Linked DNA regions of Canis lupus familiaris. The protein of the gene in region 1 purifies or fractionates together with the protein of each later gene. This does not show direct contact. Links are inferred from orthologs where the notes say so. Each region holds a gene or a part of one and is shown on either strand. Other genes may lie near its edges.

Region 1 (3,805 bases):
CTAGTGTCCCACAGTGTCTTCCTGGGCCTGGGCCAAGGGGGTATAGGAAGGGGGTTGTTTGTTTTCCATAAAGTGGAGCTTGGCATGTGCGAGACAAGAGAAATATACTTGCTATGGGCCATACGTATATGGGGTGCTTTGCGTCAGGCCCTGAGTGATGTGCCAGTACAGTTGTGTGTATATCTGGGTACTGTTTGAGTATGTACAGAATGGGGACTGTGGATATTGTGTATATATGTAGGGGCTAGGTGTGTTCTGTGGGACCCCCTGTTTGATGTTGGTTTCCAGATGTATTTATACTTGGGTGCTGTTTATTTGTGTACATCCTGAAACCTGTGGGTGTTGTGTGCATATATGGTGGGGTGGTGTGCCCTGGGTATATGACCTGTATGGGGTCCTTTGTGTGGTGTGGGTACTCAGATAAAAGTGTGCTTGGGGATAGTTTGTATGTGTATGCAGGGGTTGTGTGTACTGAGTGTGTAACTGAGAACTGTGAGTTGTGTGTACAGATTGGGGGAAGTAGTCTTTGCCTGTCTGTGCAGGGCTGTGTGCAGTCTCAGGATCAGGGGTGCCGTTGTTGTGGTGCCTGGTACCTCCAGGACCCAGATGCCCTCGGGCCTCACTTGTCTTCCTTCTTCATTCCACTAGGCTCTGCCAAGGCTGAGAGTGACAAACGTCTAAGTGCAGGGCCTGGCCAGGGGCCAGGGTCTATCGTGGATGAGCACCAGGACAATGTCTTCTTCCCCAGTGGGCGACCGCCTCACCTGGAAGAGCTGCACACACAGGCCCAGGAGGGGCTCCGTTCCCTCCAACACCAAGGTAACCTCCTTCCTTCCAGTACAGCTCTTGGCTCCCAAGGTCAGGGGCCTGGCTCAACACACTTTTCTGGTGTCTTCCAGAAAAACAGAAACTGAATAAGGGTGGCTGGGACCATGGAGACACCCAGAGCATCCAGGTGAGCCCTGCCCCCAGCTCAGTCCTGACTCTGCTTTTCCCTCCATGGTTAATTTCTGGCAAATAGGTCTCTGAACCCTTTTGGATTTCCATTTCCTTCTTGTATCCTGAAGGGCTAGACTAGATGACTCCTAAGGGCCAGGCCAGCTGATGTCTGCTCAGTGCTAGGTGAGGCCAGGGAGAGTTGGAGTCAAAAGCTGCCCCAAAGGGGCAAAAGCAAGAGGCCTACATAGGCTTCTGGGCTGGTCTGATACCGGGGCCTCATCTCCTTCCACCAACAGTCTTCCCGGATCGGGCAGGATGAGGATAGCATCTCCTTCTGCAGTCAGACCACATCCTACACAGCCGAGAGCTCCACAGCAGAGGATGCGCTCTCCATCCGCTCGGAGATGATCCAGCGCAAAGGTGTCTGCTCACCAGCCCACATTCTTGGACAAGGCGGGGTGGGGTGGGGTGGGTGGGCATGATCTGGGGTCCTAGCCCCTGCAGCTTTCCTCTTTTCCTCCTAATCTGGCACCCTCCTGTCCAGGCTCTGTGAGTCAGTGAATTCAGGAAACGCAGTATCCTGCGTCTTCTTGGAGACTCATGACACACACACACAGACCACAAAGCTGGACAGTTAGGAGTCAGGAAACCTGGGTTTGAGCCTGATGTTGCTACGTCGCAGCTGGGTGACCTGGGGCCAACCTATAACCACTCTGATCTTCCGTTTGATGTTCTATAAAAATGAGAATAAGAGTACTTGCATTAGCAGAATGAATGCCAAATGTTTGGCATGCTAACACATAATAATTGTTCACTAAGTGGAAATTATCCTTGGCCTAGTAAAGCCTTCCAGCAGTCTTACAGTAAAGAAGTGTCTAGCTTTGTTTAACCTAGCTTTGCCCACGCCTACTTGATTATGGAAATCTTTTTTTGCAGAGCTCTTGTTAGTTATTCTGCGAAAGCAGTGCTCTGCAAAATGTGCCCTGAGACCTGCTCTCTAATGGTTTCTCTCCCCTGGACTGGCCCCCAGGCTCTACCTTCCGACCTCATGACTCATTTTCCAAATCATCCGGGAAGTCAGGGCGGCGGCGGCGTGAGAGACGGAGCACGGTCCTGGGGCTGCCTCAGCACGTGCAGAAGGAACTCGGTGAGCCCCAGAGTAGGAGGGTCGCAGGGGGGTGTGGGGACCTCCGGCCCAACCCTCTGCTGACTCATATGTCCTCCCTGTCCCATGCAGGCCTGCGGAATGAGCGTGAGGCACCGGGTACCCCTCGGCCTCCTGGTCCCCGGGATGCCGTCCGCATCCCCACAGTGGATGGCCGCCCAGCAGGCCCAGCCTCGGGGACAGGGGCCCGGGTGTCCCTGCAGGCGCTGGAGGCACAGGCTGAGGCTGGTGCCGAGGCAGAGGCCATGCTGCAGCGCCACATTGACCGTATCTACCGGGATGACACCCTCGTTGGTCGGTCCACGGGGGCCCGGCCCCCACCGGTGACCCGGCCCATGTCCTTAGCGGTGCCTGGACTCACAGGAGGGGCAGGGCCTCCAGAGCCCCTGAGCCCAGCCATGTCCATCTCGCCCCAGGCCACCTACTTGTCAAAACTGATCCCAGATGCTGTCCTGCCGCCCACAGTGGACGTGGTGGCCCTGGGCCGCTGCAGCCTGCGCACATTGAGCCGCTGCAGCTTGCTGTCAGCCAGCCCTGCCTCTGTCCGCTCGCTGGGCCGCTTCTCCTCGGCCTCCAGTCCGCGGCCCCGCAGCCGCCACCCTTCCTCCTCCAGTGACACTTGGAGCCACTCTCAGTCCTCTGAGACGATCGTGTCTGATGGCTCCACCCTCTCCTCCAAGGGTGGCTCTGAGGGTGGGCTTGAGGGCTCTGTGGGTTGCAATAGTGCAGCTCCCCCTCCACAGGGGGGCAGTGGGAGGGGCTCCCCCAGTGGGGGCAGCACTGCTGAGGCCTCAGATACAGTCAGCATTCGGAGCAGTGGGCAGTTGTCTGGCCGGAGTGTGTCCCTACGTAAGCTGAAGCGGCCCCCGCCTCCTCCCCGCCGGACCTACTCACTCCATCAGCGGGGCTTGGCCTCACCTGATGGGCCCTTGGGGTTGCCACCCAAGCCTGAGCGGAAGCAGCAGCCGCAGGTGCCCCGGCCGCCCACCACTGGTGGGTCAGAGGGGGTGGGGTCAGCCCCCTGTCCCCCCAACTCAGCAGGCCCCTGGGTGCCTGGCTTGTCTCCAGGTGGCTCCCGGCGTCCCCCACGCTCCCCAGAACGGACGCTCTCACCCTCCAGCGGGTACTCGAGCCAAAGCGGTACCCCTACCCTCCCTCCCAAGGGCCTAGCAGGGGCCCCTGCTTCCCCAGGCAAGGCCCAGCCCCCTAAGCCAGAGCGGGTCACTTCCCTTCGGTCTCCTGGGGCCTCTGTCTCCTCCTCCCTCACGTCCCTCTGTTCCTCATCCTCTGACCCAGCCCCCTCAGATCGTTCTGGTACACAGATGTCGACCGCTCTGGGTGACAGGTTTGCCATACCTCCTCACCCCAAGGTGCCTGCCCCCTTCTCTCCACCCCCTTCCAAGTCCAAGAGCCCTAACCAAGCTGCCCCGGCTCCCGTTCCTCCTGCTGCGGTCCCTGGGCCTGTCTCTACCACTGATGGGAGTCCTGAGCCCCTGCCAGCTCTGCAGACAGCCCTGGTCCCACCACCGGGGGCTCCCATTGCCTCTAAAGACAAGTCCCCCCCACCCTCCCCACCCCCATCTTATCATCCTCCCCCCCCACCCACTAAGAAGCCAGAGGTGGTTGAGGCCCTGTCTGCCCCCGAGACTGCTGAGGAGTCCCTCCAAGACCCCCACTGGCCCCCACCCCCGCCTCCTGTAC
Region 2 (4,381 bases), on another chromosome or scaffold:
ATGGAGCCTGCTTCTCCCTCTGTCTCTCTCTCTCTGTCTCTCTCTCTCTCTATATATATATATATGTATATTATGAATAAATAAATAAATAAAATCTTTAAAAAATATATACATAGACGTACCTACACACATACCTATAATCACAAGGGGGTAAACTGACATTTATGGCACTTTCAGTAGACGCTACAATCGTTATCATTTCACTTAATTTTTACACAACGCTCTCGGAGAGAGAACGCACTTCTAAACGTAGCCCCGCCGGCCGGGTGATGGAACAGCGGAGGTTTGCAGGACTTGCCCAAGTTCACAGACGTGGCGGAGCTGCGATCAGAATCCAGCTCTGACCTCAGCAACAAAGCCGCGCCAGCGCGCACCTCGACGGGAGGCTAGTTTGGGAAGTTCCGATTCACACCTGCGCCACCCAGGCCACGTCCTGGTCACAATAAATTCAACGTTCACGCCCCCCCACCCCCACCCCTCACCCTCGCTCGGTGGCGGGAGGCGAAAGCCGGGAGCGGCCGGAGAGCGGAGGGCAACTTCCGAGCCCCGGCTCCCCCCCGAGGACCACGCCGGCAGGAGGAAGAGGAGAGATCCGAGCGCGGGCGACTTCTACCTCAGCCCCGCGGAGGAGGCAACGCGGGGCCTGACGATGGCCGCGGCAGAAGCGGGCAAGTCCCGCACGCACTGCCTCGGGGGCCCCAGAGCTTACCTTAACTGCCACCTCCGGAGCCGAGTCCACCGCCACTGCCAGAGAGGGCTTGGTCGAAGCCGACTTCGTCAGGTGCATGAGCGAGTCGGCGGCTGGCAGGCAACACCGCCCGCCCTCACTGTCCGAGTCCGATTCGGACCCTGAGCCCGAGCCGTAGGACGCAGCCAGAGCTGCAATCGCAGCCGACATGACGGCGACAGACCCTCTGCGGAGACCAGGCCCGGGCGGAAGAAGCGGCTTCCAGGTCCTGACAGATGACCTGACGGATTATACACACACACACACGTTATTTTACTTCCTTCGCTAACAACTCACTTACGGCATTTTAAGATGTACACAACGTGGTATTCGAAGACGCACAAGAGGGCTGAGAACACGGAAGCGCTTATCTAGGGAAATTAAAGGAAAAATTCTACAGTCCCTAAAAACTTCCAGGACCTACGTGGCCAGACGAAAGACTACGAGTCCCGAAGTGCCTCGAGGCAGCCAGGTCCTACACTCCCGGCGGGCAGCGCGGCGGGAAGTTGGCAGAGGCGCAGTGGGAAGTGTAGTTCGGAGGGAGGGACTGGGCGGGGCCAAGTGGGCGGGCCTCTCCGCGGCCCCGCCCCCGGACGGAGGGTTCATTCAATTGGCTCTCCTCTTCCCTCACTCCCGGGCCGAGCGCTGTTCTCTCCATCCCCTTCCCCCAAATTGAGGATCGGGCAGTACCATAGAGCCTCGGGAAATGGGGGGGGAAGCCGTCTTCCTGCCGTGCGCCGGCTGAGGGGGCGGAGGCCGAGTTCTCCACCGCGGCGGCACCCGGGCGCTGGGAGCTGAAGAGGACAGTGAGGAGCTTGAGTTGGAAGCCCTTGAGTGGTGGAGAATAGGTCCTGATGGGAGGGACGGGAGATTAGGTGCCGAGGTCCCGCGGTCGCCCCCCCCGCCCTCCCCCGCTGCAGGCGCGGATCGCCGCGCCCGGTTGTGGAGCGTCGCGCGCGGGGAGGGGGCGGGTGGGGGGCGGCGGCGGCGGCGGCGGCGGCTCGCGGCGTTGTTCGCTCGCGCGTCGAGCACACGGTGGGTCCGGCGGCGCGGCGGCGTTCCCGGGAGCCCGGAGCCCGTTCCGCTCCGGAGCCCGTCGCTCCTGGAGGCTCTGAGGTGGAGTCGCGGCGGCCGAGGGGGGACCGAAGCATGAAGACGGGGTAAGGCAGAAGCCCCCCCGCCCCCCATGATTTCACGGTGAGCGCGAGTCTCTCAGGAATTGTGTTTCGGGGGCGGGCGCTGCCGCGGGAGGAACTCCTCCTCACCGGCCGGAACGCGCGGAGGTGTGTGTGTGGCGCTCCCGCCCGGTAAAGGTGACGGGGATGGGCGCGCCGCCCCCGCCCCCCACCCCCCCCCCGGCCGCGGGTTTCCGGAGCTCCGGCCGCCCACCCGCCAGCCGCGCCGGGGGCTGAGGGAGACGCCGAGGGAGACGCCGAGGGAGACGGCGGCCGCCCGAGGCCGCCCGAGGTGGGGACACTGCAGGTGTCACCTGGGCTGCCGGGCACCCCCTGCGGCCCCGGGGGTGGGGCGGGGGCGGGGGCGGGGGCGAGGAGCCCGGGCTCGCGCGACGTGCGGGAGGCTCCGCGCAGCCGGCCGGTGCGTTTGCGTGTGGGCGCCGCGCGTCTTTCTGTCACGGACCGAGAGGTAAGGCGACGCCCCGGGGCCGCCCGCCCCTCCGCCCCGACGTCGGCCCGACTCGCCCATTGTGCCGCCCGGATCATTATTCAACTCTGCAGCATCCATCCATTGCACCTTTTTCTTCCCATTTCTGTTTTCCCCTGGCTACAGCGTGCCCCCTAGCTTCGGTGTGCTCCGACGCCGCCGCCCGCAGGCGCTCGCCGGGGGATGCGCGCGGAAGGAGGACGCGACCGAAAGCGCATCCCATCCCGGCCCGAACCTTCACAGCCTGGCGCCGATTAATCCAGCCGATTAATTGATCTAGCTAACCCCCGGCTAGCGAGACGCTCGAATAGGACCCGGTCTCATCCCGCCGCCCCCCCCCCCCCACCCCGTTTCCGCAGGAGGGGAGCCTCGGCTCACAATTTAACGTCGTCTTCGGTGGTGGATCCGCGGACCCGTTAAGTCCTGTTTCTCGTGCGGTAACTGATGTGTGGGTCATCCGCCCCGTCTCCTGTGCCCACCTTCAGTGTGCGCGGGGGGCAACTTCCATCTAAGGGCTGGTAGTACTATCGCATAATTAGAAACGCAGGCTTGCCTCTGCTCCCAGGAGCGGTTTCTCCCCCCCACCCCCACCCCCCACCCAGGTGCTTGACTTTGTGTTAGCAAAGTATTTTTTATTTTACGGCGAGTGTTGGAAGAAAGGACTATGATCTACAGTCTTCTGGAGTCTTGAATGAGAAAAGTTTTGGTGTTTGGTTGTTTTTCAGTAATAGAATATTTTATTGCTGATCCTAGCCTTCAGTTGAATGAAAGGAAGCCTTTCATATTGAAGGTGGGGGTTTTTCAACTGCCAATAATGAGCATTTGCTAATTCCTCTAATTTTATTTTATTTTCATTTATTCAGTTCTTTGCAATATCATGTATTTAACATGACTTGCTGTTAGGATATTTTCTGTCTCTGTCTCTCTCTCTCTCTCTCTCTTTTTTTTTTTCTAACTTCTCTCTCCAAGGATGGGCAGGCTCCAGTTTTGCACCATCTACCTGAAAGATGGAATATGTTTCTGAAAATGGAAGGAACAACTGTTGGTTACGTGATTATGATGTTAAAAACTGTCTACCTCTCCTTCCTTAAAAATAAATGATTCACTACCAAAAATAAGTGTTTTTTTTGTTGTTGTTGTTGTTGTTGTTTTTGTTTTTTGTTTGTTCTTTTGGTAAGCCTCCCCTTCCAGCTTCTCTTGTTTAAGCTTGTTGCCATAACCCTCTGGATAAAACAGAATTGCACATAGGCATCGCAGAGGCAGTTGTTTTAAGATACAGTAATTGTTTTATGGCATTTGGAAGTGGCGCACATATAATATAACTTGATAGCGTAGTATCAGGTGATTGGTTAGGAAATGACCTTGCAATTTACAAAATGGACACCTCTGTGCCTTAGTTTCCTTATGTGTAAATGGAGAAAATACTCATTTATGTCACTGAGGAGTATGCATAAATTCAATATAGATGTTTTCATAATGCTTTTAAGGAAAATTTAGGTATTTTAACTGATGGATGATGAAAATATTTCAGAGTTAAGTACAAGGATGTCATTAGGATATTCCGTGGCATTTTAGAATGGCTGATTTACATTGAATTTTGCTTGGGAAATCATGGCTCTATATTGAAAAAGGTTTCTCATCAAGAGTTTCTATTAATTGCAAATTTAATGGGCATTATAGTTGATATCTATTTATAGTTATAACTATAGATGTAGTTTATATCAATGAAAAAAAAGTTATATGGCTTGGTAATAAACAAGTAGAATCTTGAATTAAGTTAAAAAAAAAACAGAAATTGAAATATTTGCACATGACATGGCCCAAAATACATAGTTGTGGTCATTTGTAAGGTATGATATGAAGTTTTATTATTCAAGTTTGTAAATAATCACACATTCAGATGCAGTGTATTTATATTGTATCATACTATATTTAATTATACATTTTGCTTCATTTTCAGAATAGTTTAAGGTATCTATTTCCAAGTGTTTG

Evidence for each region.
Region 2: the proteins of KIAA1522 (region 1) and WASF1 purify together in Homo sapiens (affinity purification with mass spectrometry; 3 studies listed by BioGRID and IntAct, with this or other methods). This does not show direct contact. The link is inferred for Canis lupus familiaris from reciprocal best matches to the Homo sapiens genes NHSL3 and WASF1.

Annotation. Positions count from the first base shown.
Region 1 is NC_049223.1:67,961,567-67,965,371, reverse strand, and holds part of KIAA1522 (uncharacterized protein KIAA1522 homolog), read left to right. Parts: intron 1-648; coding exon 649-819; intron 820-899; coding exon 900-955; intron 956-1,235; coding exon 1,236-1,359; intron 1,360-1,969; coding exon 1,970-2,086; intron 2,087-2,176; coding exon 2,177-3,805. UniProt on the Homo sapiens protein: Able to directly activate the TNF-NFkappaB signaling pathway.
Region 2 is NC_049233.1:67,248,510-67,252,890, reverse strand, and holds the start of WASF1 (wiskott-Aldrich syndrome protein family member 1), read left to right. Parts: upstream 1-1,335; 5' UTR 1,336-1,575; intron 1,576-1,720; exon of another isoform or gene 1,721-1,924; intron 1,925-2,090; exon of another isoform or gene 2,091-2,194; intron 2,195-4,381. Other genes in the region: CDC40 (pre-mRNA-processing factor 17), read right to left, coding at 710-898.